Saccharomyces cerevisiae S288C: one gene and its partners. The protein of the gene in region 1 purifies or fractionates together with the protein of each later gene. This does not show direct contact. Each region holds a gene or a part of one and is shown in the gene's direction. Other genes may lie near its edges. The genes, in order: SGO1, NCE102, MPD1 and NDI1.

Evidence for each region.
Region 2: the proteins of SGO1 (region 1) and NCE102 purify together in Saccharomyces cerevisiae (affinity purification with mass spectrometry, with the first as the bait; one large-scale study listed by BioGRID). This does not show direct contact.
Region 3: the proteins of SGO1 (region 1) and MPD1 purify together in Saccharomyces cerevisiae (affinity purification with mass spectrometry, with the first as the bait; one large-scale study listed by BioGRID). This does not show direct contact.
Region 4: the proteins of SGO1 (region 1) and NDI1 purify together in Saccharomyces cerevisiae (affinity purification with mass spectrometry, with the first as the bait; one large-scale study listed by BioGRID). This does not show direct contact.

What each region holds. Positions count from the first base shown.
Region 1 is NC_001147.6:460,667-469,070, forward strand, and holds SGO1 (Sgo1p), read left to right. Parts: upstream 1-4,104; coding exon 4,105-5,877; downstream 5,878-8,404. Other genes in the region: NRT1 (nicotinamide riboside transporter), read right to left, coding at 1-610; YOR072W (uncharacterized protein), read left to right, coding at 836-1,150; YOR072W-B (uncharacterized protein), read left to right, coding at 3,803-3,964; CDC21 (thymidylate synthase), read right to left, coding at 6,009-6,923; UFE1 (Ufe1p), read left to right, coding at 7,546-8,404. UniProt on the Saccharomyces cerevisiae protein: Plays a central role in chromosome cohesion during mitosis and meiosis divisions by preventing premature dissociation of cohesin complex from centromeres after prophase, when most of cohesin complex dissociates from chromosomes arms.
Region 2 is NC_001148.4:827,716-835,012, forward strand, and holds NCE102 (Nce102p), read left to right. Parts: upstream 1-2,202; coding exon 2,203-2,724; downstream 2,725-7,297. Other genes in the region: YPR148C (uncharacterized protein), read right to left, coding at 1-425; SUE1 (Sue1p), read right to left, coding at 3,340-3,960; URN1 (Urn1p), read right to left, coding at 4,346-5,743; MAY24 (May24p), read left to right, coding at 5,974-5,978, 6,113-6,530; PIN3 (Pin3p), read left to right, coding at 6,850-7,297. UniProt on the Saccharomyces cerevisiae protein: Involved in membrane organization. Required for the formation of membrane compartments of CAN1 (MCCs), localization of CAN1 at the MCCs and subsequent invagination of the plasma membrane at the MCCs sites.
Region 3 is NC_001147.6:849,406-857,147, reverse strand, and holds MPD1 (protein disulfide isomerase MPD1), read left to right. Parts: upstream 1-4,070; coding exon 4,071-5,027; downstream 5,028-7,742. Other genes in the region: SWI/SNF catalytic subunit SNF2, read left to right, coding at 1-2,001; YOR289W (uncharacterized protein), read right to left, coding at 3,036-3,791; rRNA-processing protein RRP36, read left to right, coding at 5,309-6,211; thiosulfate sulfurtransferase RDL2, read right to left, coding at 6,419-6,868; thiosulfate sulfurtransferase RDL1, read right to left, coding at 7,094-7,513. UniProt on the Saccharomyces cerevisiae protein: Participates in the folding of proteins containing disulfide bonds.
Region 4 is NC_001145.3:27,766-35,899, reverse strand, and holds NDI1 (NADH-ubiquinone reductase (H(+)-translocating) NDI1), read left to right. Parts: upstream 1-6,092; coding exon 6,093-7,634; downstream 7,635-8,134. Other genes in the region: NAB6 (Nab6p), read right to left, coding at 1-1,657; NGL3 (3'-5' poly(A) RNA exonuclease), read right to left, coding at 2,049-3,566; YML119W (uncharacterized protein), read right to left, coding at 4,216-5,289; Rag GTPase GTR1, read right to left, coding at 8,038-8,134.

The sequences.
Region 1 (8,404 bases):
CACATGACCAAATTAAAAGGTAGTTCATATGGTAGGGTTTCATGAAATAGCAGAGCGCGGTGAGGACGTGGAAAATAATGAAGCCGACCAACTGCTTGGTGGTCATGGCAACACTTGGGGACAAAGTATTGGGCAGGTGCAGATAGTGGTGGGACCAGGAATCTAATATCATGTTGATAGATAGACCACCCAACCAAGCGTTGGAACCATAATTGACAATACTCATCAAAATTCTAATGATGATACCGAAGGCTGAACCGTAAATGCCAAAAACGAATCTTTGGGCCAAGGTGAAACCGATTTTCCAATCATAACCGGGGTAAGAGTTGGCCATAGTGAAAATAATGGTCAAGACATTACCGAGAAGAAACGAAACAATGGTCTCTGGGTAACTTAGGCCGACACTTAGTGCAGCAGAACCACTCATCCATGTACCTGCTGTAAAGGACACAGCGCCCCAGTACGCCAAATTAGACCAGAACCCCCATGTTTGATTTGCAGACTTGATAGGTTGCAAATCAGGGTTCCTCAGAAAATTCACGGCAGTCCTATTTTTGGCAGGAATTTCTAAATATCTCAAAAACTTAGAGACTATACTACTGAAGCTCATGATGATACAGGTGCTGAAGTCCTTTTTTTGATAGTTATAATGGGGATATCAGTACAATAAAGAATAATATAAATTCTGCAATAGGAAATAATATAGGTAATTGTTCTTGATAATTCTGGAGTTTATAAGATTTTAACTCTATTTATGAGAATAGAGAAGGAAAATTAAAACTACAATAGCGAATGCAAATTTTTTTCCCCGAAGAACAAATAGCGGTAGCAACACATGCTGACGAAAGTTGTGTTCCTCTTTTTTTGGAGCAGGTCTGACTCAACTAAAAAGCTAGCTGCATGCAACCACGCTACATTGGCACACTATATCCTGACGCCCGCGCTATACTCTGACGCCTGCGCTATATATTCTGACGTCTACTCCATAACTATTATAGTAGTGGCCACTGTTGTTCGTAACCCGGCGCGGTGTTCGCTCCGAGCACGAAAATTCTGTCGTTTATTCTCTTCCTTCTTCCAGTTCCATTACTTAAAGGAGCTGTTTTATTTCATTCGAAAGCCCGATGACAAATTCTCCTCTTTCATATAAATTAATAAGGCGGTCAGCAGGAAACTCCTATTGCCAACCGTCTTGCGAACCGACCGGTCGCTGCGCGCGATCATGCGTCCACGCGCTTCTGTGGCGACGGACGACTACAGCAAGACATTACTCTGGTCATTTACGCCTGGCGCCCAGAATGTACAAGCGCAGACGGCCAGATCATATGATGAAACGGAATAGTCCCAGCTATACCGGTGATCACAAGACGTAGTTACATAGATGCCTTGGCGCCGACACGATATTTCTTGTCGTTCTGTGCCAGTAATTCCTTTTCTTCTCGACTATGCCTCTAAGACGTCAGTCTTGGAAGCATAGTCTTCGTAAAAAAATTTTTTTTTTGAGGTTTTTGCTTCCATTTCTTTAGACTGAACTAATTTATTTTTTTTATTATTATTCAGTAATTTTTATATATTTATTTATGGACTTATTGAGGTGCTTTGGGGGTGATGACGTCCCCAGTGAGGCCCCCAGGGTAGTGGACCGCACCTAACTTCCCATTCATGATGTGATTACGCATTTTAATCTTGTCTATATGTTCTACAATGATGGCGTCAGTGCCAATGCCGTTCGCATCTATGAGGGAGATGAACTCGCTCTCGGCCGTTGGGTTTGAGGCGGTGCCGTAGTGTCCGCCTTCATTCCGGCTTCGCGGTGTCTACGAGGCATTCATTTTATGTCGCGGCAACTACTTGATATTTTCCACCAGGCACAAGGAGAAACATGGAGAAATTATATATAGAGAACTATGAGTCCTGAGGCGGCCGTTCAGTAGCTCAGATTGCCAGGGTTAAAAATTGCTCCTTGGCATCCTATGTGCTGCATACTAAAAAATTTTTAGCCACGTAGTTGTATACTTTTGTTTCCGGGGATGAGAAATTAGCCCCAGGTCCCAGACTTACAACAAGGTAGATAGGGGGGCGCACCTTGTCGTCATGAGACCCATTTCGTAGAAACTTGAATTTGTTGTTGTTACTTCTGTTTTCAAGTAGGAGTAACGAGGCCGCGTACAATTTGCCAGTGGATTTGTCGCCTGCAGCAGCGGCCGCGACGCGACGGGTTGATCCAATTTTGTGCTTGCTTCTTCAACTGAATATTTTGAGTCCACTGCATGTGGAAAACAGAGTTTTCAGTCAGTCTTGTATGTATATTATTCTCTTTAGCTCCAGAATTTCTGCTGTGCTTAGTAACTTCTTGCCGTTGAGCTGATTTTAGTAGTATAATTTTTTTGCAACTCTACTGATATCAAGAGCAGTGATATGTGCTTTAATGTTGGCATTTCTTTCAAGCCAATCACCTTCTACCATTGGTCACGGTCTCAGTATATTTGTCGTAAATATTAGTACTCTAGTCTGGTCAGAGAAGTGGCCTTTCTCCCACCAAAACGTTGTTGTTCTGTCTTTTTTCTTATTATTTACTATTTATTGGATTTATCAAAAATTCCTCAGGAACAAGATTTAATATTCTTGAAAATCCTGTATGTCATAAATCATGAGCTTGGAAATTGACACGAAATATCGGATGGCACTACTTGATGATCGTTTTTATCACTACCGCTGTACTTTAATTTCATAATTTATTTGGTGACATTTCTCTTGAAGATCTGGCAAGATGTACACGGGGAGCTCCTTCAACTGTTAAAAATATTTTTAAAAGTAAAGACGTCACCATACTTTTTCACCATAAGAACAATTACTGGTCCAGATTAAGAACGGTTGGAGTAAGAGCCAATTATCATTCATTGACTGGTATTTCCTTTTGAACTATATTATCATATAATAGGTAAGAAGATGGCAAAAAGGAAGGAGAAACAGTGGTCTGATGTGATAGGGAAGTAAATGTCAACAAATACCTAACAGTACTATCTGATCGAACAAAGAAATTCCACCAAACTGTCAGTAAATTTATTTAATGAGCAGCAAGGACATAGTGCACAACTAGCACTCTACTTCGATTGGGTTATTGAGGAAGAGGATAGTATGCCCGGAATTTTCAAGCATTTACATGATTATGGTTTCATTGGGGTGCAAGAAGACCCAGCATGATTAGATTGCTATGTACTCATTATATAATATATCTCCGATGAATATATTTCCGAAAGTTTACTGAAGGCGACCTTGGATAAACCATAGTTTTACGGCAAATACACCATATCACTATTTTCTTTCTATATAGCTTTGCTAAGGCTTTTTTTAGTGACCGAGACAAAGAAGAAAATTTTCCATAAATGAAAGACCATTGTTTATTCCGAATCAAGTTTTCCGAAGAATTGTTGTATTACACAGTCCAGAGACAGCAGAATCTTTCAGAAATTTTAATACTGTTGTGACAGCATCTTGTCTATTATTTATTGGATACGCAAAACTCATTTTTTTAAAATTTTTTTTATAATTTCCTTTAAATAAAAAGGTTAAAGCTGGGAAAAATGCATCTAAATAATAAACTAATGATTTAGTTTCCCTCATTTAAAATATCTAAGAAGGACAGAACTTTGTTTGGGGTACTTACCCTTGAGTATTTTTAGCGATTATTCTTGGAGTTCTCAGCCAGAAGATTAAAAGAATATATGTTACTGAATGCAGTGTGATACTCAAGACTAAGTAGTCTTAACAACAAGTTAACAAGGGCGTGTGGTCTAGTGGTATGATTCTCGCTTTGGGCGACTTCCTGACTAACAGGAAGACAAAGCATGCGAGAGGCCCTGGGTTCAATTCCCAGCTCGCCCCTTTTATTTTTGATTATTTATTTCCTATTGGTCGGGTAACAGATTTTTTTTATTTTTTTCAAGGCCCTTTTGTTTTGTAAACAAAGAAATTTCACAAAGTGAGCGTCTACTAATATTGATAATGCCATTTCCACATTACAACTACTGCTAGGCGCAGGGTTATATTACTTACACACGCATATATATGTTTAATTGGGTATAGAGGGGTTATTGTTTGACCATGCCGAAGAGAAAAATTGCTCCTAACAAGGAAAGCAGCAGGCGTACGGTCTCCCACGATGATTTAACCCCACAAATACAAGAATTTCAAAACCTAATGGATCTCGAATCGCAAAAAGTGGAAAACATCAGACAGTCGTATTCGAGGCAAAACTCCCTGCTGGCCAAGGATAACTCCATATTAAAAATTAAAGTTAATAGCTTGGAAAAAAAAATAAGCCAGCTGGTACAAGAAAACGTGACTCTACGATCTAAAACCTCTATAAGCGAAGCTATCTACAGGGAACGGTTAAGTAATCAACTACAAGTCATTGAAAACGGTATTATTCAAAGATTTGACGAAATTTTTTATATGTTTGAGAACGTACGTAAAAACGAAAATTTGCCCAGTTCGAGCTTAAGAACAATGTTGAAGAGAACGAGTTCCAGGTCAAGATCATGCTCATTGTCATCACCCACATACTCAAAAAGTTACACTAGGTTATCAAATCACGAGAATAACCTGTCGCATGAATCAAGTTTTAACAAGGACGATGGTCCAGATCTTGAGCCTAAGGCTAAAAAAAGGAAGAGTTCTAGGCGGCAATCTATGTTTGTATCCACGAGTTTAGAACCTGAAGACGAAACCGGTGAAAACGAACCCATGATGGAAAATTCCTCTGTAGAGGTACCGGCAGAATCACACGAGTCTGCGCAAGTGGAGGAAACAATAGATGCCTTAAACCCTGAAGAGGAAAATAGCGATTCTGTCAGTAATTTTACCAATTCAATTATAGAATACTCCATACCAGAGGAGAATCCGACAGAACCCGAGCATTCATCTTCTAAACTAGAAATATTCAATGACAGTACAAATATGCTAAGTACAGTGCCGTCAAATCCTTTGCCGTTGCCTTTACCAGGCCCATCCGCAACTTTACCTACTACCACTAGCGATGCTTCAACGGTCTATCCTTCATCAAGTTCTTCTACTAATTCTCATCCAAAGACCAAAATTAAGCATTCCATGAAGCCGCCTAGGATAGAACTGAAGAAAAAGGTTATTGACGAAGTCATGCCCGTAAGTAACATGAGCAGCAACAGCGAAATATCATTTACGAGAACTAGAAGAACTCGTGGTAAAGCTGTAGATTACACTTTGCCTTCTTTAAGAGCCAAAATGAGGAGGCCTTCAGAAAAACTTGTGGATGCTACTACTGTGATTGATATACATGATCTACAGGTTTCCAAGAGAAATCGGGAAACTTCACATAAAAGGAAAAGTTTATCCCAAGATTCAATACCCGACGAACCGCAATTGAGAGAAGTCGTCGTCTCAAAGGATTATGGAACTCCAAAAGGGAAAAAAACGGAAGATGAAATACACGAGGATACCGCTCATCTAATGACCACTTCCAACAACAACAGCAACAACAAAAACGAAAAAAAACTAACTAGCAACAATAGCCCTAAAAAATCGTCGCCTTTACTTGACATTACAAATAAATCGGAGAATAAGAAAAAGTCAACAAGAACTAAAAAATTGTTCAAAAATGCAATTGTCAATAATTTATCTGATGAAAATTCTACTACGCGACCCTCCAAGTCGTCAAAGGGAACCAGTAATAATAACAACAATTACAACAATTTCGACAATAACAATTCAAACATTAATAATGTTAATAATAAATCTGTTAGCTTTAGACTAAATGAAGATGATTTAGCAGTATTTGATTTATTTGGAAATGGTAAGGCAGTGAAACATCAACCAAAAACATATCGCACCAAAAAATGATATATAGTCTTTTTGCCCTGGTGTTCCTTAATAATTTCTATATTTTTGCATAATAAACCATTGTATTATATACATTCGATTTTGTGTGTATATACGTAAGTACATGATTTTGTTTCTCCTCGTGCTGTCAATTATACACTCATTTTCATTTGAATTCTTGGATGAGGATTATAATCTTCAATTTCAAAGTCTGTCAACTTGAAATCATCAATGTCTTTAACGTCCCTTTTAATCTTTAGTTTCGGGAATGGTCTTGGATTTCTGGTGATTTGTTCTTTCAAGGCATCAATGTGGTCTTTATAAACATGTGCATCCCCCAAAGTATGAATGAACTCACCTGGCTCCATGTCGACAACTTTAGCAATCATTCTAGTCAACAAAGCATATGATGCAATGTTAAATGGTACTCCCAACCCCATATCACAAGAACGTTGGTACAATAAGCATGAAAGGCGGGGCTTACCGGATCCTTCTCCTTCTTTGGGGAAACTGACATAGAACTGTGAAAAAATATGGCATGGCGGCAAAGCCATTTTGTCAAAATCAGCTGGGTTCCAGGCACTCATAATGATTCTTCTATCGTAGGGATTTGTCTTTAGTTTATGTATAACCTGTTTCAATTGATCAATACCTTGTCCAGTATAGTCGTCATCGCACGTCTTGTATTTAGCACCAAAATGCCTCCATTGAAATCCGTAAACGGGCCCCAGATCTCCTACTTTCCTATCTTTGAACCCCATCTTATCTAAATATTCACGAGATCCATTACCGTCCCAAATCTTAACACCTTGCTCAGACAATAGGTTAGCGTCTGTATCACCGGCCAAAAACCACAATAGTTCAAGTATGATACCTCTAGTAAAAACCTTCTTGGTCGTTAGTAGTGGGAAGGTATCATCACGTAAACTAAAACGCAGCTGGGGTGGTGCAAAAAGACTCAACGTACCAGTGCCTGTTCTATCTGGCCTAAATTCACCTTCATCAATGATTCTTTTGCATAGATCAAGATATTGCTCTTCTTCTTTGTTTTTTCCGTCCATAGTCATCCTGTACCGTTCTGTTATGAAGCTCTCTCCTTGATACTTTATTGTTTGATATACACAGTCACTTACAAGTTTAGAAAATACAATTACAGCTATGCTATAGTAAATATTTCAGGAAACGCGTCAATTAAGGTCTTTTTCATTTTTTCTATTTAACGCGTCACCAAATATTAAGTTTGAGAAAGAAGGTCAAAAAAGCAACACCTCTTCCAACCTGTTCAATGCGGTCCTACGTTGAGGACACAAAGCTAATCTCTTTGAGGTAGCTGCAGTATAATGACGGGACCTTTGCATATTTTATTGGCCTTTTCCAATGAAACTAATTTTTTAATTGAATCTCAATCCCGTCCTTTACAGACGAGAGGGGAAAGAAGCTTGTTCGCATGATCCATCCTGGAATATGGATACATGTCATGTAATGATAAATCATTCCTACCTTTGCTGGTATCTTTCTGAAAAGGGCACATTTAATTAAGAACTGCCAACAAGGAAAGATCTCCGTTACCCTACCCAACTTGTGAGCTCAGATGAATGAGAATAACTAGAATACATACACATACGTCTAGTATCATTTCCCCCGGTGCTGGGAAATCACCCGTAAAAGCAGTGAAGAGCTTATTAACTCATGATGTCTGATTTAACACCAATATTCCGTAAGTATGTTGCTGTTATCGATGATGCTAGAAATGAGCAAAATGGTATAGATGATCATGTTGAAAGGAAACAAGAGGACTTCGGGAATTCTAATGAAACGTGTGAAATGTTTAGGGATTCGTTTATTAAGGAATGTGCAAGACTATTGAAGTTCCTAGTCGAATTAAACAAGGTAATAAAACAGATTGAAAAAAACTATTTAGATGACTTTAATATGAGTGATGCGGAAAAGGACGAGTTTGACATGGAATGCAGGCTGCAAATTCAACAATATTTCAAAAAGTTTGAATTCCTAGAGAATTACGAAATGGAAAGGCATAATTTGTCGCTGAAAAGATTTCAGTCAAAGTCTCACAGATGGTCAAAAATACTTTCCAATAAAAACGACAACACTAAGCATGTGATACATCCGCAAGACATTGAAAATGGAGTTTATGAATTTAGATTAGGTGTCCTACGGTGTTTGAATTTGTGGATAAAATATGTTTCATCCAAATTCACTACCATACAACAGGAAAGATTGATATTAGAAAATAAAATGAATTTCAATTCAACGCCTATGCCTACTTTATCCAACAATGCGGATGATTTCTCTGCAGATGCAATAGACATCTCAGTGTCACAATCTGCTCCCGTAGAAACTGTACAAGACGAAGTAAAACATTATGAAGAGACGATATCCAAATTAACCCAGGAGCAACTACAAGTGTTGGAGACAGAACATTCGGAACTGCTAAATCAAAAAAATGAGCAATTGAAAAAAGTGGAGACTATAAACAAAACAATTTTAGACATTGTCAATATACAGAACGAATTGTCCAATCATTTAA
Region 2 (7,297 bases), on another chromosome or scaffold:
GCATCGTCATGGTTAGATCCCTTTTTTTTAGTGGAACTTTCGGATTTTTTAGAGCCAAACCAGCCATCTTTATTGAGAGACCACCAATCCGAAATACTCTCCGTTAAATTTGGTGGATAGTCGTAGCCCTCTACTTCGAACGTTTTGGACACCAGTAGAATCCTTTTACATACCTTCTCTAAGGAATCACTTTTTTTCTCCAAGAATTGGTACTGTGGTGGTAATTTACTTATATCTGATACAGTACCCAATGATTCCTGAACAAATCTAGTTCGCGATTTGATTGATAGTCTTGTTTGAGGGTCATTTAAGTTTACATTTGCATTTGCTAATGCATTGTTCAAAGTGTCTTGGGTCTTGTGAGCAGCGGTGGCAATTGAATCGGTGATCTTGTTTAGAGAAAACCCTGAAAAATAACCAGACATTTTCTAACCAGAATTTTATGGTTTTACCTAACTTTGCTGTTCAGATGTATAAGTATTGCAACCTTTTTTTCCCTGATCATTATTATTTCAAGAGAAATGAAAACCAAAACTGGGATATGCGTGTCGAGTGCTAAAAAAAGCCAACTAGCGATTTAAGAGTGAGAAGTAATCCTCGTTAAAAGCGATGCAGAGCCAACTAACTAAACTGCTAACCTCGCTTTCTTTACACAAGTAGTACTCAAGAAGTTTCATAAAATGCCCAGTTACACACTCGTGAAATGCACTTCAAGGTGGTGTTACAATTTTCACGAACTGCAACAATTGAGTATATTTATTAAAGCAGGAATATGTTTGCCCAATCAAACGTAATTTCATATATGAACATATATGAAGTTGCACACATCAGCGGGAAAGATGTCTCTACCGCTCGAGGAGCCACACGTTTGATTTGCAATCCATGAAATAGAACTGCTAATCCCATATACAATTAACTATATCAATTTCCTGAACAAAGAGATTACAATCAACGGCAAAGCCGCCTGCCTCTCCGGAGATCTCCTTTTTTCTTCTTTCTTTTGTCCTATGTTGCATAGTTGCTCATGTCTTTTCCTTAGGCGGACAATTAAGAGCAGCCACAATATTTCCAAAACTAAATTGCTAAAAAAGCGTAGCAAAAAATTCTCGTCATTCCCACTTTCCCTACCTTAACCCTTGATGTTAACGCCGTTTCGCTCATCGGAACAAACTATACAGATAATTAAGCTTTTCGGCAGCGGTGAGAAAGGAAGCAGCCAGGAGGAATACGCGGCTTTCTCGCGGAGCCCGATTGCCGATACAAAGGAACTGTTGCCTCCTCCCGGCTATTTCCATAGGCCTTCATTCAGCATACTGTTGTGTAGTTGCATCACATCCTTGTTGAATGAATTCCAACTATTTCGATAAACCATCCCATGAAGGAGAATGCAATGCGGCTTTTGTTTGTAAACGGGCTTGAGAGGTTCTATGCGGTTAATTCTGTCACTAGGGGTCCGAATCTCGGATTAAGTATAAAATATGTATTACCCTGATGATTGACCGGATGATGTAAGGATGCATGTCCCTACTGTTTTGGTATTTCCACATACGGACGGGGCCCCGAAACACCACCCCCATTTTAACGGCCGCATCTGAGCATCGGCCCATTTGGCACACGCCCGTTAGTGACGTTGGTAGGGGCATTTCCCTGAGGTAGGCCCAAGGTTGCTTTAAAAGGTCCATCGCAAACCCCTTGTCCGCGGACCTCTGCGTCATAATTAAAATGCCCAAAACATAAAAGTGATCGCCCCCTCACAGAAACTTATGGGCAGCTTGCTGCCTTAACGGAATTGACTAGAATTGGTTTGATTTTTTTTTCTTCCTACTTCTTCTTCCATTTCCCTCCCCTCTTCCTCATATATGTATACAGAAAAATCATACCCCTATAAATTCCTTGGCCCCAATCTTCTGTCAGATTTTCCTTTATAAAAGAGTCTTTGTTTTGTAATTAAAAGATACTTTTTTCTTTCTTCTTCTACGTCTCCTTTTTTTTTTTTAAGAAAATTTAACTTATACCACTATTTTGTTCGCAATTGATCAAGAAAAAATACAATTGAAAAGGTTTTACATTTTTAATTTTTCTGCTCATCGCGCTTTTTTAAAAGGATAAATAAACATTTCTTTAAAAAACATCTTCAATAAGAAAAATCGGTTAAAAAAACTTTTCTTCTCAAAGCATACCTAATAACAATATAATCCCATAATGCTAGCCCTAGCTGATAACATTCTACGTATAATAAATTTCCTATTTTTGGTTATTTCCATCGGTTTAATCAGTTCGTTGTTAAACACCCAACATAGGCACAGCTCCAGAGTAAACTACTGTATGTTTGCTTGTGCATATGGTATATTCACCGATTCATTGTACGGTGTCTTTGCCAACTTCATTGAACCATTGGCATGGCCACTAGTTTTGTTCACACTGGACTTTTTGAACTTTGTGTTCACTTTCACTGCCGGTACAGTGTTGGCCGTTGGTATCAGAGCTCACTCATGTAACAACAGCTCATACGTTGACAGTAACAAGATTACTCAAGGTTCCGGTACCAGATGTAGACAAGCTCAAGCCGCTGTTGCATTCCTCTACTTCTCTTGTGCCATCTTTTTGGCTAAGACCCTGATGTCTGTTTTCAACATGATCTCCAATGGTGCCTTTGGTTCTGGTTCTTTCTCCAAGAGAAGAAGAACTGGCCAAGTCGGTGTTCCAACCATTTCCCAAGTCTAATTGAAGCGCACCAACTTAAATTTTACGCCACTTTCAATTAAGAATATAATAAATGGACACCGTGAATAAATTAGGGAAAAAAGAAAGCAAATAAGAAAACTCCGTTTTCCCTCATCCCTTTCCGTCTTTCGGAAGAAACAAAAAATTATACCCAAGGAAAACCCGAAAAAAATGAAAAAAATACCAGAAAAAAAATAACAAATCATATGCACTTCTTCATTAACGATTATGAAGAAGTCTTATTTCTAACTAATATTATTATTATTATTATTATTATTATCATTCACCCCGCTTTCTTTTATTATAATTTGTTCTTCTAATATTTTAATTTTTAATCTTTTCATACTATTCTTATATCTAACTAAAGTATCCTTCTCTTTGTCTAGTTTTACTTCACTACATACCTGTTGCGTTGATTTGAGTTTTTTGTATGTAAGTTCTGTTTATCCTTTTTCATCCTACCGTTCCGCGCACGGCGTGACGTGGATCCCTAATGTGAGTTCAAATCGGTTACAAAAATTAATAGTTTTGTTTCCTATTATTATTATTATTATTATGTATGAGGAATCGTGCTATAAAATCATTTTCCATATGTATATGCCAAATATTTATTATTTATTTCATCTTTTTTTTGCTTTTGTGTGTCAACCGCATTTGCAGTGCCTTGTCAAACGGCTTCAACTTTCTCATCATATATGGGGGCACGTTTTTCCATTCAGGAAAATATTCCATACCCATACTGGACGTAGACCACCAATTGAATGGCAACAGCTCATTGGGTACGGTGGGATTGTACTTCCATGTACCGTTCACGCCACCTGACATTATACCACCAGTGCCACGTTCACCAAACAATATGTTCTTGTGCTTTTTCTCATCGATCGTCTTCGCCTCTGCGTTTGTTTTCTCGTTCATTGTTAATAACGTTTGCAAGGACTTTCTCTTCTTATCTCTGAATAGCGGGTTTTCCTTCACTGGGTACATTACTGGCCTGTATCCGCTATACAGAATATCGCGGGTGAGCTCCCTAGCTTCCAAATACTGTGTAGTAGGTACTTTGGGCAGCGATCTAAAGTCATAGAAATGCGCATTCTTTAAAATCTTTGAACTCCTTTGCTTGGTAATTTGTTGATGTTGCTGCCTTATGGGGTTCACCAGTCTGCTGTGAGTCCTTCTTTGCAAGCTTACAAAAGAGACGCTGACGCCCCTAATTTTTGTCCTCTTTAATAAAATCATCCTTATTCACTATTTCCGTACGTATATATGTCTTTGTATATACGTGTATGCGTGTGTGTTTCGTTACTCTCTATAATTCAACTAAAATGTATACATGCAGACACACACTCAGAGGGAAAAAATAAATGTGCTATAAATAATGAAACACAAGAAACATCTAAAGTCCGAAAATTGCACCTGCTCTTATCATTCATTCTTATACAAAAGTGACTAGATATGATGGCGGATCCCGCAGCCCCAATCACTGGCAAAGAGCCTGAATACCGATAGGTACACTAAGCGTAAAGACCCTACCGTATTCTGGTTGCTATCACCACCCCACTTCCATCACGTCCATACCAGGTGCGTAAGCTTAATCACTCTTTGCTCCCCTGGTCTGCCCTTCCTATTCCGGATTTATCGGCTCGTTCCCCGCGCCCACTGGGGTAAACCGGCTTGATGGCCCGACCTCGGCGGCTAGCCACCGCACCCAGACCACGGTCTTCTCCAGAATGCCCACGACGTAGTAGCGTGGTTCCGTCACCACTATTGGGCTGACACAACACCTGTGCTCAATGCTCAGCAATATATCCTCTATACTACTACTGTCCGCGGGTGCTTTCAGAAGTGTTTGCCATCGGTCGATAAGCTCTTTGTCCTGACGCAGCGATTCGACTGCCCCCGTAAAGTCTCGTTCGTGATCCCGTAGGCAATCGCAGAAAATCTCTTTCCGCTGTTCCAAGTCGAACGTCTTATAATAAAACAGCAGTTGGGAAACGAATTTGTCTTGGTCGCGCTTCGACGGTATATACTCCTTGATTTTGTAGGCCTTGTATAACGCTTTTTGTTGTTTCCTTATATCTTGTGGGATGGTGTCGGGTGCGATTGTTCCCGCATTAGCAACAATTTGTGCCAGATAATGGTATTTTGTTGGTTCTAGTACTTCGCTATCGTCTTCGCTATTATCTTCGCTATCGCTTTCTTCAGCGGTGGCATTGCCACTGCGCTCGCCGCACCATTCTTCGAAAAGACTTTCACGAACTGTGTCATCTCTGATCTTGTAAAAATCAGGATCGTTTTCGATTTTCTTGCTTTGCAGCGACCACGTGGAAAACTTGTCTAGTTTATACCTATCGAATAATTCGAAGAAGATATTACGCTCGTCAATGTCATCTGTATCAATACGATTCAGATCATCGATAATGCTGATATCTTGATTTACAATTTGTTCTTCATTCTCTTCGTCTTCCTCTTCGTCTTCCTCTTCGTCTTCCTCCCCCGAAGATGAACCATACCCGCTGACTAGCCCAGTGTGGCTTTCCTGTAAAGGGGATTTTACGTCACCCGCCTCTTCGCTGATCTCATCTTTTCTCTCAACTTCGTCTTGATTTCTTTTAAATAGATGAATCTCTTCGTTGCAAGATTCGAGGATTTTATCAATGTCCTCCTCCCGCATAGTGTAACCTCTGGCAACGCCAATCAGAAGAACCAGTTTTTCCTTATCTAACGACTCGATTAATGAGCGACACCTGCTGTCGTCCTCTTGACTGATGTCATTTTTGAACTCCTTAGAGTCATCATTAAAGTAAAGTTTTGTACCATCGTTGTATATTATTAAGTGCCAACCATTAACCAGTTCTAATGAAAATGTTGGCTTCCTCTCTGTCTGTGATTCTTTCGCATTGCTTTCTAGGTTAGAGCCTTTCTTCAAATTAGGTTTTTCCCATCGAGACTGCTTCGTGTTCTTATTATAGTAATACTTTTTGCCTGCAGGTGTCTTAAATTCCTGCCATTCTCCACGCATGGCGATTCTGTGTTACTGAACTGTCTTTCTCTTTATAATACATATCAGAATCTCTTTCGGACACTATTTCCTCTTTCTTCAATTATATTGTTTTCTCTTTCATTGCCGAAGAAAAAAAGAAACATACTGAAAGTTGATAAATATGCAATAATAAAACCTTTTCCTACTCTTGACGCTTCTGTATAAGATAAAAACTGCCAACAAGATCAGTTCCAACTTCCTGCCGTATTATGAGGTATGTTATTCATTACCAAGACTATATCCGCCACGGCTGGATGCAGGCATCGCTCCCTGTGGCTTAAGAAAATAATAGGCACAAAACTAACAATAAAAACATCCACTACTCTGTCGCATGTTCCCTGTGCTCAGATCATTCGTAACAAATAACGATATACCTGTTGGATATGTAACGCCAAAATTCCCCTCATTATACTGGCCCATCAACAACTCGAAGTATAATACTGCATTCTTATACTATATATCTGACATTTGGAAATTTTCGCTGTACTGGACTTTGATCTTTAATGGTGCATTTTACGTTACTGCTGGTGTGTATGCTAGCTTGACCCATAGAAAGAAGGCTGGAAGTGTATGGATATTCGTCATGTACGTCTTATACGGAGGCGTTCAAGGCTTGACGACTGGTACAGTTATGGGGTTTTTAATAGGTGCGATCTATAGATCTGGTTTATTTTCTATGTCTACATGGGTCCCACTTTGTTGCGCAGTAGTCCAAATCCTTTTCGATGTGGTGCTAAGTTATTCCATGGTTGGTTCCGTTATGTGAAAGCTTCTGTCAAGAAAAAACAAGAAGGGGTTTACTGATTTGATGATAAAAGTTAGCAGCAACTTTTGAATGAGAATGTGCCATCCTTCACGTAAAGAGCCTAATACTCTTTCTTCAAAGCGCTAGATTGTTCTAAACGTTTCTTTAACTATTGTTTTCGTTCGTGCAGCGTGATTAACCGAGCCTCCTTCGAGGCGGGGATGGATATTGTAAGCTGCATATATAGTCGAACCTCAAATCGGTTGAGACAATAGGCAAAGTGCCCACATTGGCGCAAACACAAGAACATTAGGAAAGAAGGCAATCTGATATTTCAAAAATGTCTGCTTCATTGATTAATCGTTCCTTAACAAACATTAGGACAGAACTGGATTTTCTAAAAGGGTCAAATGTCATTTCAAATGACGTTTACGATCAAATAAATAAGAGCTTGCCGGCAAAATGGGATCCTGCCAATGCACCCCGCAACGCCAGTCCAGCTTCCTTGGAATATGTCGAAGCTCTTTATCAATTTGATCCTCAACAAGATGGTGATTTGGGCTTAAAACCAGGTGACAAGGTCCAACTTTTAGAAAAATTATCTCCAGAGTGGTACAAGGGTAGCTGTAATGGCCGTACCGGTATTTTCCCAGCAAACTATGTCAAGCCAGCTTTCTCTGGGTCTAACGGTCCATCCAATCTTCCACCACCTCCACAGTATAAAGCTCAAGAATTACAACAAATCCCCACGCAAAATAGTGCCGCATCATCTTATCAACAGCAGCCAT
Region 3 (7,742 bases), 390 kb from region 1:
AATAATAAGAAAATGGTAGGTTTAAGAGGTTTCAATAATCAAATCATGCAACTAAAGAAAATCTGTAATCATCCTTTTGTATTTGAAGAAGTTGAGGACCAAATCAATCCAACAAGAGAAACGAATGATGATATTTGGCGTGTTGCTGGTAAATTTGAACTATTAGATAGAATTTTGCCTAAGCTTAAGGCAACTGGGCATAGAGTATTAATTTTTTTTCAAATGACCCAAATTATGGATATTATGGAAGATTTTTTAAGGTACATTAATATCAAGTACCTGAGGTTAGATGGTCATACAAAATCTGATGAACGTAGTGAGTTGTTACGTCTATTTAACGCCCCTGATTCTGAATACTTGTGCTTTATCTTATCAACTAGAGCGGGTGGTTTGGGTTTAAATTTACAAACTGCAGACACTGTCATTATTTTTGATACTGACTGGAATCCTCATCAAGATTTGCAAGCTCAGGATAGAGCGCATAGAATAGGTCAGAAGAATGAAGTTAGAATTCTAAGATTGATTACTACGAATTCAGTTGAAGAAGTTATCCTAGAGAGAGCCTACAAGAAGCTAGATATCGATGGTAAAGTCATTCAAGCAGGTAAATTCGATAACAAATCTACATCGGAGGAACAAGAAGCGTTGCTTAGATCTTTGCTGGATGCAGAAGAGGAACGTAGAAAGAAAAGAGAGTCTGGTGTTGAAGAAGAAGAGGAGTTAAAAGACTCAGAAATCAACGAAATTCTTGCTCGAAATGACGAAGAAATGGCTGTTCTTACAAGGATGGATGAAGATAGATCAAAGAAGGAGGAAGAATTGGGAGTAAAGAGCCGTCTCTTAGAAAAGAGTGAATTACCTGATATTTACAGTAGAGATATTGGTGCCGAGCTCAAACGTGAAGAATCAGAATCTGCTGCTGTTTACAATGGAAGGGGTGCAAGAGAACGTAAGACGGCAACTTACAACGATAATATGTCTGAAGAACAGTGGTTAAGACAATTTGAAGTTAGCGATGATGAAAAAAATGACAAGCAGGCAAGAAAACAACGAACAAAGAAGGAAGATAAGAGCGAGGCGATTGATGGGAATGGAGAAATTAAAGGCGAAAACATTGACGCTGATAATGACGGTCCTAGAATTAATAATATATCGGCCGAAGATCGGGCAGATACGGATTTGGCAATGAATGACGATGATTTCTTGTCTAAAAAGAGAAAGGCAGGAAGGCCCCGTGGAAGACCTAAGAAAGTGAAACTTGAAGGATCTGAAAATTCTGAACCACCAGCGCTTGAATCAAGTCCAGTTACTGGCGATAACTCTCCCAGTGAGGATTTTATGGACATTCCAAAACCACGTACAGCGGGAAAAACATCTGTTAAATCAGCAAGAACTTCAACAAGGGGCCGTGGTCGCGGTCGTGGTCGTGGTCGAGGGCGAGGACGTGGACGAGGAAGGCCGCCAAAAGCAAGAAATGGGCTTGATTATGTCCGCACGCCCGCTGCGGCAACGAGTCCTATTGATATTAGAGAGAAAGTTGCTAAACAAGCTCTAGACTTATACCACTTTGCTCTCAATTATGAAAATGAAGCTGGAAGGAAACTTTCTGACATTTTCCTCTCCAAACCTTCCAAAGCACTATATCCCGACTACTATATGATTATTAAGTACCCTGTCGCCTTTGATAATATTAACACGCATATTGAAACGCTAGCTTACAACTCCCTTAAAGAGACCCTTCAAGACTTTCATCTGATATTTTCCAATGCTAGGATATACAATACTGAGGGTTCAGTAGTATACGAAGACTCTTTAGAACTGGAAAAAGTGGTTACGAAGAAATACTGTGAGATAATGGGCGATAACTCACAACTCGACTTTACTGAATTTGATGAACAGTATGGCACCAGACCCCTCGTCTTGCCTCCTGTTGTTACTTCAAGCGTGGCTGAATCTTTCACAGATGAAGCGGACTCGAGCATGACAGAAGCGAGTGTATAGTACCTTCCTAAAGCAATATAAGTACTTATTCGTTTATACGTAGACAAACATTAATCCCTCTTTTTTTTATTGTACCCATTAACCGAGTTGGGATGTTTAATATCTCTAGTATAACGTGCCGTATATTTCCTATATATATATATATATATATTTATATATATTAGATTTTAAGTTAATTGTTCAACTAATTGATCGATTTCGCCTCTTATAATTCTGCTATACATATTTATTTTAAACCATCTCTTTGAACAAAGTAATATGTCGTCATCATAGTGAACTTGTTCTTGGACCTAATTATAAATTTTCCAATACGGAACAAATTATTTGTTCCAACACCCTGCTAGCAACACAGGGCAATATATATAAAGAAGATATATCTACTACTTCTTTTCCTTGAGTATATGTCTTTAATAGATATTTCATGTATTTGATTCATCTTTAATGGAAATACTCGGAGATTATATACAGGTCCGAGATGGCCTTAAAGATATTTCCCACAAATGTATTTACCACTCATTAGAAATGAGTTTCTGTTGTATTACGGGCTCGAGTAATACCGGAGTGTCTTGACAATCCTAATATAACAGTCTTAGGGAAGTAACCAGTTGTCAAAACAGTTTATCAGATTAATTCACGGAATGTTACTTATCTTATATATTATATAAAATATGAATCATACTAAGTGGTGGAAGCGCGGAATCTCGGATCTAAACTAATTGTTCAGGCATTTATACTTTTGGGTAGTTCAGCTAAGGAAGGACGGGTTTTGTCTCATGTTGTTCGCTTTGTTATAAGGTTGTTTCATATGTGTTTTATGAACGTTCAGGATGACGTATTGTCATACTGACATATCTCATTTTGAGATACAACAGTTTCAACAGTCATCAGGGCACATGGCGCAGTTGGTAGCGCGCTTCCCTTGCAAGGAAGAGGTCATCGGTTCGATTCCGGTTGCGTCCAATTTTTAAGCTTGATCAATGTATAAAAGCATATTTTTTTTAATGTTTCTAAGACTAACTAACGAGGGTTATTTTCTAAGCCTCTATATCTTTTAACTGTTTGTTAAATTCCTCATAAGTTATGGAACTTTTTTTGCCCTCGTACCTTATTACTTCAATGAAATAAGTTTCAAAATTATCCATTACTTCACTAATATTGCCCCAGTAACCCGCCTTCTCGATTAAATTGGCAAAGGTATCTTCTTTATTCCAATGTTGCTCAGGCATAACATCAGGTAAAAAGGTTGCGCTACATGTGGTGCCTGTTTTGGGATGCTTAAAATACAGTTCAATACCGTGCTTTCCGAGTTCCCAATCGAAAATGTCCCCATTTGGATTACCACCACCTCGAAAAATAGTTTTGAAGTTGCCTAAGATGTTGCAACTGCATTTCAGGTCCACCAATTCCCTTTTCTGGATCGGAGAAAATCTCCTATCCTCTAAAGCAGCAATCAAGGAATATTTCTCAATACCATGTGCAATCGGCATCTTAGCAAATGTACCGATACATCCTCTAAGTATATAATTCTCTTCGTTAGTGTCTATTGTGTGATGTTTATTGGACTTTTTCTTCCAAGTTATGAACAACGAAGTTTTCTCATTGTAATCTATTTTAAAGTCGGGGTATAGCCTTCTTCTAATATCTTCTAAAGAAAGGCTGCTCGATTTCCCCGGATTCAAGTGCGAATAAAGTTGATAAAATGCGTAAAACGCAAATGGCGATGAACCTTTAGGGCCTTCCATTGATATCTTTGCAAAAAAACTGGATTTTCGAAATAGCCTTAAAGCCATTACTATCGCACAAGCCAAAAACCATCTTTTCAAAGGATCTTATCTGGATACAAATTGACGCAAATTTCTCTTTATATTCCTCCTTTGTCGCCCAGTGTCATGTGCTTATCCCTTGAAAAAAGGGCCGTTGTTCGAGCCTTGCGAGGCGTATAAAAATTTGGTAAAAATTAAAATTGACACGTAAAAGTTAAATAACATGAAGAGAAATATCTTTTCGCAGTCATTTTCAACAGTAAGCATCCACTTAACACAATTAGGAGAGACAAAATTTGACATATAATGTTATTTCTTAATATTATTAAGCTCCTTTTGGGACTTTTTATTATGAATGAAGTAAAGGCGCAAAACTTTTACGATTCCGATCCTCATATATCAGAGTTAACGCCAAAAAGCTTCGATAAAGCGATCCATAACACAAATTACACATCATTAGTGGAATTTTATGCTCCGTGGTGCGGCCATTGTAAGAAGCTCTCTAGTACGTTCCGCAAGGCAGCAAAAAGATTGGATGGTGTAGTCCAAGTTGCTGCTGTAAACTGTGACCTTAACAAGAATAAGGCTTTGTGTGCTAAATACGACGTAAACGGATTTCCCACGTTAATGGTATTTAGGCCCCCAAAAATTGACCTATCTAAGCCAATAGATAACGCCAAAAAAAGTTTCAGCGCTCATGCCAATGAAGTGTACTCAGGTGCAAGAACTCTCGCGCCTATTGTTGATTTTTCTCTTTCAAGAATAAGGTCATATGTCAAAAAGTTTGTCCGTATAGATACACTTGGCTCTTTACTTAGAAAGTCACCCAAACTTTCCGTGGTGTTGTTTTCCAAACAAGACAAAATTTCACCGGTTTATAAAAGCATTGCCCTTGATTGGTTAGGAAAGTTCGATTTTTATTCAATTTCAAACAAAAAACTCAAGCAACTAACCGATATGAACCCAACATATGAAAAAACTCCTGAGATTTTCAAATATTTGCAGAAGGTCATTCCTGAACAGCGACAGAGCGATAAAAGTAAGCTTGTCGTTTTTGATGCAGACAAAGATAAATTTTGGGAGTATGAAGGGAACTCAATCAACAAAAATGACATTTCCAAATTTCTGCGGGACACTTTTAGTATTACCCCCAATGAGGGTCCTTTTAGTAGACGTTCTGAATATATTGCTTACTTAAAAACTGGCAAGAAGCCAATTAAAAAGAACCATTCCTCCTCAGGAAACAAGCACGACGAATTGTAGTGGTACGTTTCCTCATTCAATGATTATCTAATTAAACACAACATATGTATCTATATAGTCCACTAACTGATGGCATGGACGTTTACTTTTATTTGCAATAATAACTTTTATCTGAGCGGTTAAATACCGAAAGACACGTTTATTACCCGCTTTGAAAATTTTCAACCGATGAGCTTGCCTTTCTACCGGAAAACTGGGGCATAAGAATAAGTACTAAATAGTATAATTAAATTGCCATCCAAAAATTGTATAGAGGGTCAATAAGCACTAGAAGGTTAAAAATGTCGTATTACTTTAAAAATCTGAAGCCAGACTTGAACTCCGACGTAGAAGAAGATGACGGAAACTTATTGGAGAGCATAATGGCGAACAAAAGTAAGCGAGAAATTGACGAACAAGAATCAAGTGACGATGAGTTGAAAACCTTGTCTTTTGGTTCTTTGAAGAAGGCTGAAACGGTAATAGATGAAGAAGATTTCAAAGATACGAAACCCGTTCACAAAAAACCGATCACAACTACATACAGAGAAGAAAGTTTTGATGAAGATGAGGACAGTGAGGACCAATCAGACGAGGATGCTGGATTCTTTGAAGAAGATAGTGAGGATGAAACTCATCATGGTCAGAAAGTACCAAAAAAGAAGAGCAAACACGCTCCAGTAGAACAATCATCCAAGAAAAGGGTACCACGAGTCCGAAATATCCCTGGGCTGGAAATACCGAGGAATAAAAGGTCTAACCTCTATCAGGACATCAGATTTGATAAGTCCACCGGTAAAGCCCTTGATAGTTCTATCATAAGAAAACGTTACCAGTTCTTGGACGAATATAGAGAAAAAGAAATTGATGAACTGCAGAAGCTGTTACAAGAAAGAAAATTTCTATCAAAAATAGACCAGGGAGAACGTGAAGAAATGGAACAAAGACTGAAAAGTATGAAATCGAGATTGCAATCAATGAAAAACAAAGATCTCGAGCGTGAAATTCTCAAGGAATACGAAAATGATATGAATAAAAACAATAATACGAGATACCATTTGAAAAAGTCTGAGAAACGTAAAGTGGTGCAAAAGTGGAAATTTGATCACATGAAGGCCAAGCAACGTGAAAAGGTCATGGAAAGGAAAAGGAAGAAGAGATTGGGTAAAGAGTTTAAACAATTTGAATTTCATAATCGTAGGTAGAGTATTTAAGCAAAAGAATGCACATTAAAGTAATATATAGAGAAAGATAAAAAAATAAACGCACACATAAACTAATGGAAGTAAGAGGTTATCCGCGAACCACAAGGAGAAAATCGAATGAATCGGAGAGGTGACAACAAAAAATTTGAAATACACAAAAGGTTGTCTATATACAGGATATATCGATTATACTTGTTTCTTTTTGGCTTATTTTTTGGGCTTAACGTCAGCACCACCTTTAGCTAACCACTCAGTAATAGAACCAGGATAGATACCAGTGTTTTCGTACCCATAAGATCGAGCCAACTCTTCGGCAGTTTTGGCTCTTACTCCTTTCGCACAAAGAAAAATCAATTCTTTATCGTGAGGTGGTTTAGCAAATTGGAAAACTTTGTGAAACTCCTTTTCGGGCAATCCAAGAGCGCCAGGGGCACTATTCACCGGAATATTTATTGTAGTTGGCATCTTGTAATCCTTTACTTCCTTGGGTTCCCTTACATCTACCAATAGTTTTTTATCATTGGGGTGTTCGACTAGGTTCCTGACCTGGTCAAAAGTATAGATCTTTGGAGCCTTCGTTGTAAATGTTCTCAGGACCAATGTAGGCGATCTTGCAGAAACTGTCCTCGAGAGAATACCTGTACTATGCTTGAACATCGTTGGTCTTTTTCTTCTGTCTCGCTTCCATTTGTTGAGAGTTATCGCTATCTTATTCCATTCAGATTAAGTTTTGTATTTTTTTTTTTATACTTCCTAATTTCTTTGCGCCGCCGCTATCACAGCCAATGCAATAGGCAAATATTATGAACGGTGTGACATAAATGGCATAATACGTTACTAGCTTACGAAAATACACAGGGTACATACCTAGAGTATACAAGGCTATAAGTCAAGTTTATCACCCCCATGAGAAACCCAATCATTCATAGAGCCAGGATATAGTGAGGTGTTTGAATATCCATGTGAGGAGGCGACTTTTTGAGCTTCTCCCCCGCGTTTGCCAGAAGCACAATAAAATATTAGCTCCTTGGCACTGTCAGGTTTTGGGATGCCAATCTGTTTCTCAAATTCTAAAGGATCTAAGGCAAATGCGTCAGGGTGCGATCTATATGGCACATTGATGGAAGCAGGAATATGAACAATCGAGTACTCAGATGGTTCTCTAACATCTACCAAAACCACATTAGGATCATGCTTTCCAACGATTCTTTTCATGTCTTCAAAACTGTAAGATTGAATATTTGAAACATTCTTACTTTGACTCTCGGTTCCATTCCAAGCATTCATCACGGCCTTCCACATTTTAATATCGTTTCTTAGTCACAAACCCTGAAAATAAACGAGAAAGAATTCTTTGATTGATTAAGCCTCCACTCTCTTTTATACACCTCAAAAATTCTCCCCTTACTTCCTTCCCCGCGGGTAATAATATTCTCCAAAAAAAATACAAAAGCAATCAGATGTAACTTATATAGGTTCCAAGATAAATAACAAATTATTTGTCATTGCAAGTAGGAAAAGGACATACCGT
Region 4 (8,134 bases), on another chromosome or scaffold:
TAGTTGGTGTTTGATAGTCGCGATAGTTGATTTCTAAATAAGTCCCATCAAGTTCTACCCCTTGAAGTTTCGTCGCAAGCATATCAATCTCTTCATTTAAAGATACAGATGATGACAGACTGGTTAAACTCATATTAGAGTGACCGTATACGGAAACACCAATACTACTATTATTATTGAGTGTGGTGATACCACTCATATTACTTTTATTATTGTTTCCGTTGTTGTTGCTATCGTTATTGTTCCCAGCAGTAACAGAAGGCACCGATAAACGATGTGTGCTCGTTTTACCCTCGTAAATATTAGCAACCGAAGATCTGGCTGAGCTAACTACCAACGGGGCTAGGGATACGTAAAAACATTTAGAAATGCCTAAGTTTTTGGAGTATTTTTTCAAATAATCGAGAACTTCAATAGCCATAGAGATATTCAAAAAGGTTAAAACGGCGTAATTTTCAGGAAATTGATTGGAAGGTACATCTGTGTTCACTAAATCGATAGATTCCAAAATGTATCTTTTGTTTTTTGACCTGTCCAAAAATTGTAATTTCTTTTTGAATAAATCGCTTTTCTCCACGGGGCTTTTGAATTCAATTATAATCGACCTTGTAGCATCTTTGTTCGCTATATTATGATGCAGCGAAGCACTGATCATTGTTGAACCATTGGTAATGTCGGCTTCTTCAGCGTTTTCTGTTAACGCTTCACTCTCAATAAAGGTAGGGAGGCATTTGGGATCATAGTTTAGACAAACAAATTTCAGATTTAGTGCTTCAGATTTCAAAAATGTTTTGAATTCAGATAACCTTTGTAAAATGTTATTGTAAAAGTTCAAACAGTCGCCTTTGGTTAGAAAGCTTATTAGAATGGATAGATTTTTAGTCTCTACATCTTTTGAATCATCGCTCTTCCCTCCTTCAATTAAGTAGGCACTTTCCAGAGTATTGGATTTGACAAAATTTTTGACTATAGAGTGTAAATCAATAGAATGATCCACATTTTCAATAAGCAGCGACCTAGTTCTATAAGCATCATCACCAGTCGGTAGAACCTTGTAATTAATACAAAAGGGTCTTTGTAAAAGCATTTCTGGAAGTATGTCGTCGAAAATGTTATTCCTTGCGAATGTTCTTCTTCCACTGTTGTTCCGGGTGTCGCACCCCTTATTGTTGTTGTGAGTAACATTCCTCGTACTGTTGTTGTTCCTCGAGAAAGAATTTCTCCCCATTCTATAATAGTTCGAGGGTGTTACCATTCCGTTATTAGTATTGTTTTGGTTACTGTTACTGTTTCCGTTGTAACCGTTATGATTAGAAACGGGCCTCGAATAAGCCTTTCTTTTGAGATTAGATGATCTTGCAGAATTATAGCCACTTTGCATGTTAGGCGAGGAAACAAATGGAGATCCCATCAATAGGTGAGATGGAAAAAGACTGGCACCGTATGCAGTATCAAAAGGTGTTGGTGGAATATTAGGTAATGGTGAGTTGGTGTAATATGCTGGGTGTTGAGAAGGACCATATTGGCCGGCACCGTTTACGAAATCAACAGGATGATACATCATTGGATTTCCCACCATGGCGTTCATCCCATTATAATCTTGCTGTTGACGGTATGCGTAATTCGCAACAGGTTTTTTTGAATTGGAATTTGACATATTGGAATCCTCAAAAAAAACAATAGAAAACGGATTCTTGCGAGTCTTGTTCGAGCCGATCAAAAACCCCTTCCTTGATAATATAAACGAACGACGTGAATGAGCCAACTACACCTCTTCAGTCTTTGGGATATCTTCTCTGGATGCTTTTCACGTAACCTGAAACAAGGAAAAAGGGCAGGTTTGTTGTGGTGTTTCTATGCTTGATTTTATTTTTTTTTTTTTAGCCCGTTGAGGCGCAACGAAAGGGGAAGGGTGACCAAAAATAGCACGTAAAAGCTGTGAATAAGGTGAAAGTGACGCTAAATTGAAAGAAAAATCCCAGTGACCATCGAAGCGTTGATTACTGTCTTTCAAACACAAATGTAGGTTGTTTATATATATTGTTTCTTTATTTTAAGCTATGCACTTTCTCCCCCCCAAAAAACAAGCGTATTTGGCACATTAGGGAAATGTGATCACTAGCATATTCTCCCTCGAAAGGTTGGGAGTGTTTGGGCATTTCTTGTGCGCACGGCATCCTCAGATATCCGATTATTTTTACGTTGTTATTTCCTTCAAAAGCATTCAGAGGCTCTTTCTGACGCGTGTCCTGATTATGATCACCCTCGATATAAAATATGTAGTCTAATAATCCACACCATGTATTGGCCCAGTTTGAGAGTCCCGGTTCGCCGTGGCTTCCGTTAGCATTTTCAGGATGCACTTTACCGTAGCCAATCCCATACAAAGATACGCCTTTCACATGTAGTGAATTATGCAACGCAACTAATTGATTTACCAGAGCCTTTTCTTCCTTTGTGGCTGTAAAGCTCTCTGGTTTTGGGTTTTGTGGTTGATCTGAATGGCCTTCGCCCCTAGACTTTTCATCACACTCTTCATCATCCTGGTCACTTTCTTCTCCATTCCTTTTTTTTGAATACCGATACGCTAGTGAGCATTCCACCATAGCTCTTATTGGGCCTTTTAATATCAGTGGTCTTTTCGTTATGGCCAAGTACGGTGGCTCTTCAGGTTCGGTATTGAAATCACCCATCAGTAGGCTATGCCAGCCATTATATTTGGAACATGCTTTAATTTCCTGGATCTTTTGTAAAACCAAGTAAGATTGCCTTAATCTTTCAAATACCCCAAAGGGATGCCAAAATAGGTGTGTATTTGCGACGATAATTCCTCTTGATGATGAATCTGTTATACCCTTGAAATATAGCGATATAATAAGGGCAATATTTTTAGTTCTTGTTCTTGCTGAAATGACATTTCCCGCCAATATATTATCGTAGTCCAGCATCCAATCATTATCTAACTGGAATTTTTTATTGTTCCATGCAACTAGTAGTCCATGAGTTTTCCCTTCATGCCTTTTGAAAATCACATCAAACCCTAACTTATGGAAATTCTCCTGCCAGAAGTTGAGTTCATTGTAATCGACCTCCTGCAACGATACTACATCAGGCCTGTACTTTTTCAATTCGTGGACCAAAACTTTTGATCTCTTATGCCACTTTAACGCTGGTCCACTTTCTGGGAAAAAATCTCTCCTAATCAAGGTTTGTGCTAGAGTATTATAGGTCATTATTTTAACGTCCAATGAATCTTGGGTGACTTGTATGGTCGCTGGCGTAAGACCTTTCGAATTATCATGGTTGATAGGGAGGAATGGTCTTTCAATGAATTGTAAGTCAGGCGTTGGGAAGTCAGGGTCCTTCCCTTGGGATATTAGAGAGTTCCTACGTACCTGTCTCTTCTGAGCACGTTCTTCTCTGATTTTCTTGATTTGATCCACACTTAATTGGTCTCTGTGTATTTTTTGATGTGCTGGGCCATCTTCACTAGGTGAAACGAGGCCTGAGGTGGAGGAGGACTCCTTCTGTGAGGGGGATATTTTGCCTTCTACTTGGCTATCCATATTGAAATTAATGTAGGAGACAAAACAAAAGAAAAAACTGTTTAATGCTGTAAATATTAAATTTTCAGTGAGCTAACTCCACGATAGTAAGTAGTCTGCTTCAACCATGTGTTAGTTTGGTATAACTATTGTGATTGAATATTGGTATTATAGGTCATCCTTTTTTTCTGTGCAACGAAGGGGTGGCTGAGCATTTTATATATAATGTCGGGAGAGGAATGCAGGACTTTTAACATATCAAATGAATAGTATCTGAGTTGTTCACATATTTGGTACGTATATTATTTATTATTCTGCAACTTGTTTACTGCATGATAATATTGAAATAAAGTGAAGAGAAGACGGCACAGAGAAATTACAATGGCGCAAACGTAAGGCAAAAATGGCACAACGAATTCTGAATTCGATTGCTGGATCACTTTTCAAAGATATTGTGTTCGGTTGTGACAAAGGCATCATTAAAATAATTATATGTCTTTTGTCATAAATTTAGATCGTTAATAGGCTTTTTTTTGTATTTTTAATTCACATGTTAAATGTTTCGTTTTGGCAACTAATAATAAACTACATTAAGTAAAATGCAAAACTTCAAAGTGCGGAAAAATGTATTGGTATATAAATACTATAGACAGAATACAGAGAATCCGTATCATTTCAAAGGTTCATTACTTAGTATCTCCGCAGGGAGGATTCTGTTGTTCGCACTTCTCTGCTGAAAGCTATCCTCCTCCTCATCTTCCTCATCTTCATCTGAAATGGCGATGCTAAAAGAATCTACCATTCGAAATATATCAGATCTATCCATTGCCTTTCCATCAAAACTCAATTCAAAGCTTTCGTTGGCATTTGTGGAAACACTGGCCCCGGCTCTCTGCTTCGCATTGGAATTAGGGAGATTCTTTACGGGCTTGCTGTTACCTTGCAGCTGCTTTTGTTGCCGTAACGTTGATGTCAGCTGCACTCCGCATAATTCGTCTAGTGATTTTGAGATCCGTGTCTTACTATTTGTGGACAATTGAATAGGTTGCAAGAAGTGATAGTTTTTCTCAAACTTCAACGAAATTAGCAGGATTATGATTTTTTTGGATATATCGTCTATCGTTTCGTGCACTGGAGATGGTAATTTATATGTGGTAACGACGGACCTAGGTAAGATGCACTTCTTGATGTTGAAATTTGTTTTTGATTTCGTGGGAGAATTCGTCAACTTAGGTGCCACACTAGTGCTACTTCTTGTACCATACAAATCAATTGGCTTGGTAAAATACCGTTTCTTTGTACACGTTCTGGAAGGAAAAATAATTTCATTTATGCTGCTCACTTCCTTCGTTTGATTGAATTTAAGAGATTTAGAATTTAAATGCGACACCGACTGATGATGCGGATGGGAATTTACATTGGTGTTTGCAGCGCCCATGGTATTTGTATATCTAGATGGCCTGTTATTATTACTGCTACCGCCCCCGGTATAATGGTCTTCATTAACTCCTTTATTAACCTGCGAAATACTGTTAAACCTTGGTCTCAGGTTTTTTGTGGGTGACTCTGGATAATAGAAAAACTGCTGGTTGGAATCGAAAGTCGCTTTTTGTTGGAAGCTCAGGACTGGCTGCTGATTCAAATTAAACTGCGTAGGAGGCAGGACCAGCCCACCGCTGTTATTGATGTAAGATGATTTGTTATTGAGCGTCCTTCTTGGCGACACTGATGGACTTGGGCTCATTGCTACCTACTTTTTTTCTTACTGACCTAAGGCTGCAGGTGCAAGAAAAGAGTAAAAGAATGTTAAAATACGTTTTGAAAGGTCTCTGTTTTCATGTACAATTGAGGGATAAAAAAATCTTTTCTTTCTTTCAATGCGGATGATTGACACTTTCTTATTTTGTGTTTTTATTTATGTTCTTTCCTAATCTGGAAAGCATATTAAAGACCGGCGCTACCCGGTTAAGTAATCATACACGTGAAAAGCACGTGAACAACAAAGCACTTTAAAACTCATATACTACGCATTTAAAGAATGCTAAAACGGCAATTGCCACTGGGCACCATTTAAAAGGTCAATAATGAATCTGTGACCTTTCTTTGCTATAGCATCACTACAACTATGTGTTGCTTGTCGCTAGCAACGAACCTATTATTCCTTCGCTTTATTGTCGAAGACCACAAAATACTCCAAAGCAATAGAATGTCTCTTTCCGCAAATAACTTACTCAGGGAAACAATACGAATATGTGCAGATTGCCGATCATTGCTGAAATGCCTCAAAAATATGCATTTTCTCATGACCTATTCATTCGGACCAATCATATGAAGGCATTGAACGTCCGGGTAACCACAATAAGAGTGCTCCCCCTTAGCGCTCTTGGTTATTGCCGGTATTTGCAACGTCGACAGGGTATATATAAGATGTATAGGGCATAGTGGGGAAGGAGTTTTAACTACCAATTGAGGAGTTTCAGGTAGGGTGTCAGTTTCATCACATCATCGAATTACACGTTTACCCAAGAGAAGAAACTAAAAACCACTATGCTATCGAAGAATTTGTATAGTAACAAGAGGTTGCTCACCTCGACGAATACGCTAGTCAGATTCGCTTCCACCAGATCCACAGGGGTGGAAAACTCCGGAGCAGGTCCTACATCTTTTAAGACCATGAAAGTCATTGACCCTCAGCACAGCGACAAACCAAACGTGCTGATACTGGGTTCGGGGTGGGGAGCTATTTCGTTTTTAAAGCACATTGACACCAAGAAGTACAACGTTTCCATCATCTCTCCTAGAAGCTATTTCTTATTTACGCCTTTGTTACCTTCTGCACCAGTTGGGACAGTAGACGAAAAGTCAATTATTGAGCCCATCGTTAATTTTGCTCTCAAGAAAAAGGGGAACGTTACCTACTATGAGGCAGAAGCCACCTCTATCAATCCCGACAGGAATACCGTTACCATAAAATCATTATCTGCCGTTAGCCAGCTATACCAACCTGAAAACCATCTAGGGCTGCATCAAGCAGAACCTGCTGAAATTAAGTACGATTATTTAATCAGTGCTGTAGGTGCGGAACCTAACACATTTGGTATTCCTGGGGTCACTGATTACGGTCATTTCCTGAAGGAAATTCCCAACTCTTTGGAAATAAGAAGAACTTTTGCCGCCAATCTAGAGAAGGCTAACTTATTGCCAAAGGGTGATCCCGAAAGAAGAAGACTACTGTCCATTGTCGTGGTTGGTGGTGGGCCTACTGGTGTAGAGGCCGCTGGTGAACTACAGGATTATGTTCACCAGGACCTGAGAAAGTTTCTCCCTGCATTGGCCGAAGAAGTCCAAATTCACTTGGTCGAAGCTCTGCCCATCGTTTTGAATATGTTTGAGAAAAAGCTTTCATCATACGCGCAATCACATTTAGAAAACACTTCGATCAAAGTACATCTGAGAACGGCTGTCGCCAAAGTTGAAGAAAAGCAATTGTTGGCAAAGACCAAACACGAAGACGGTAAAATAACCGAAGAAACTATTCCATACGGTACTTTGATTTGGGCCACGGGTAACAAGGCAAGACCGGTAATCACTGACCTTTTCAAGAAAATTCCTGAGCAAAACTCGTCCAAGAGAGGATTGGCAGTGAATGACTTTTTGCAGGTGAAAGGCAGCAACAACATTTTCGCCATTGGTGACAATGCATTTGCTGGGTTGCCACCAACCGCCCAAGTAGCGCACCAAGAGGCCGAATATTTGGCCAAGAATTTTGATAAAATGGCTCAAATACCAAATTTCCAAAAGAATCTATCTTCAAGAAAGGATAAAATTGATCTCTTGTTCGAGGAGAACAACTTTAAACCTTTCAAATACAACGATTTAGGTGCCTTAGCATACCTGGGATCCGAAAGGGCCATTGCAACCATACGTTCCGGTAAGAGAACATTTTACACCGGTGGTGGCTTAATGACCTTCTACTTATGGAGAATTTTGTACTTGTCCATGATTCTATCTGCAAGATCGAGATTAAAGGTCTTTTTCGACTGGATTAAATTAGCATTTTTCAAAAGAGACTTTTTTAAAGGATTATAGATGAAATTAACATGCCCTTTTCTGGAAAAAGGAAAAAAGGTGGTAGGCACCGTTTTTTCCTGAGTTTGCATCCTTTTTTTTCTAAAACCCTCTAAACAAAACCTAACACACACACACACGCACAAAAAAATGCACATGATGTTTTATTATTTATATATTCCCACTTTTTTCGAAATGATGCTTGACTAATGCACAAGCAAAAAACCCCGACAAGATTGGTTGATCACTTCAGCTTTTTCCTCCCATTGTCCTATATATATATCTGTGATTATTTATTTCTTCCTCTTATGTTTCTCTATTTATTTTATACGCCAAATCCCATTTGTATATACGTAACGAAAGCTTTATAATTCTTATGCCCCGCAAACACTCAATTGCCGAATGTTTCGTCTACTCACCTCAGTCATTGGAAAAACTCTTTGGCTTTTTTGATGTTTTCCAATACTAATTCTTGTGGAATATTCATATCTTTCAACACTATAAAACACACCATATTGGAC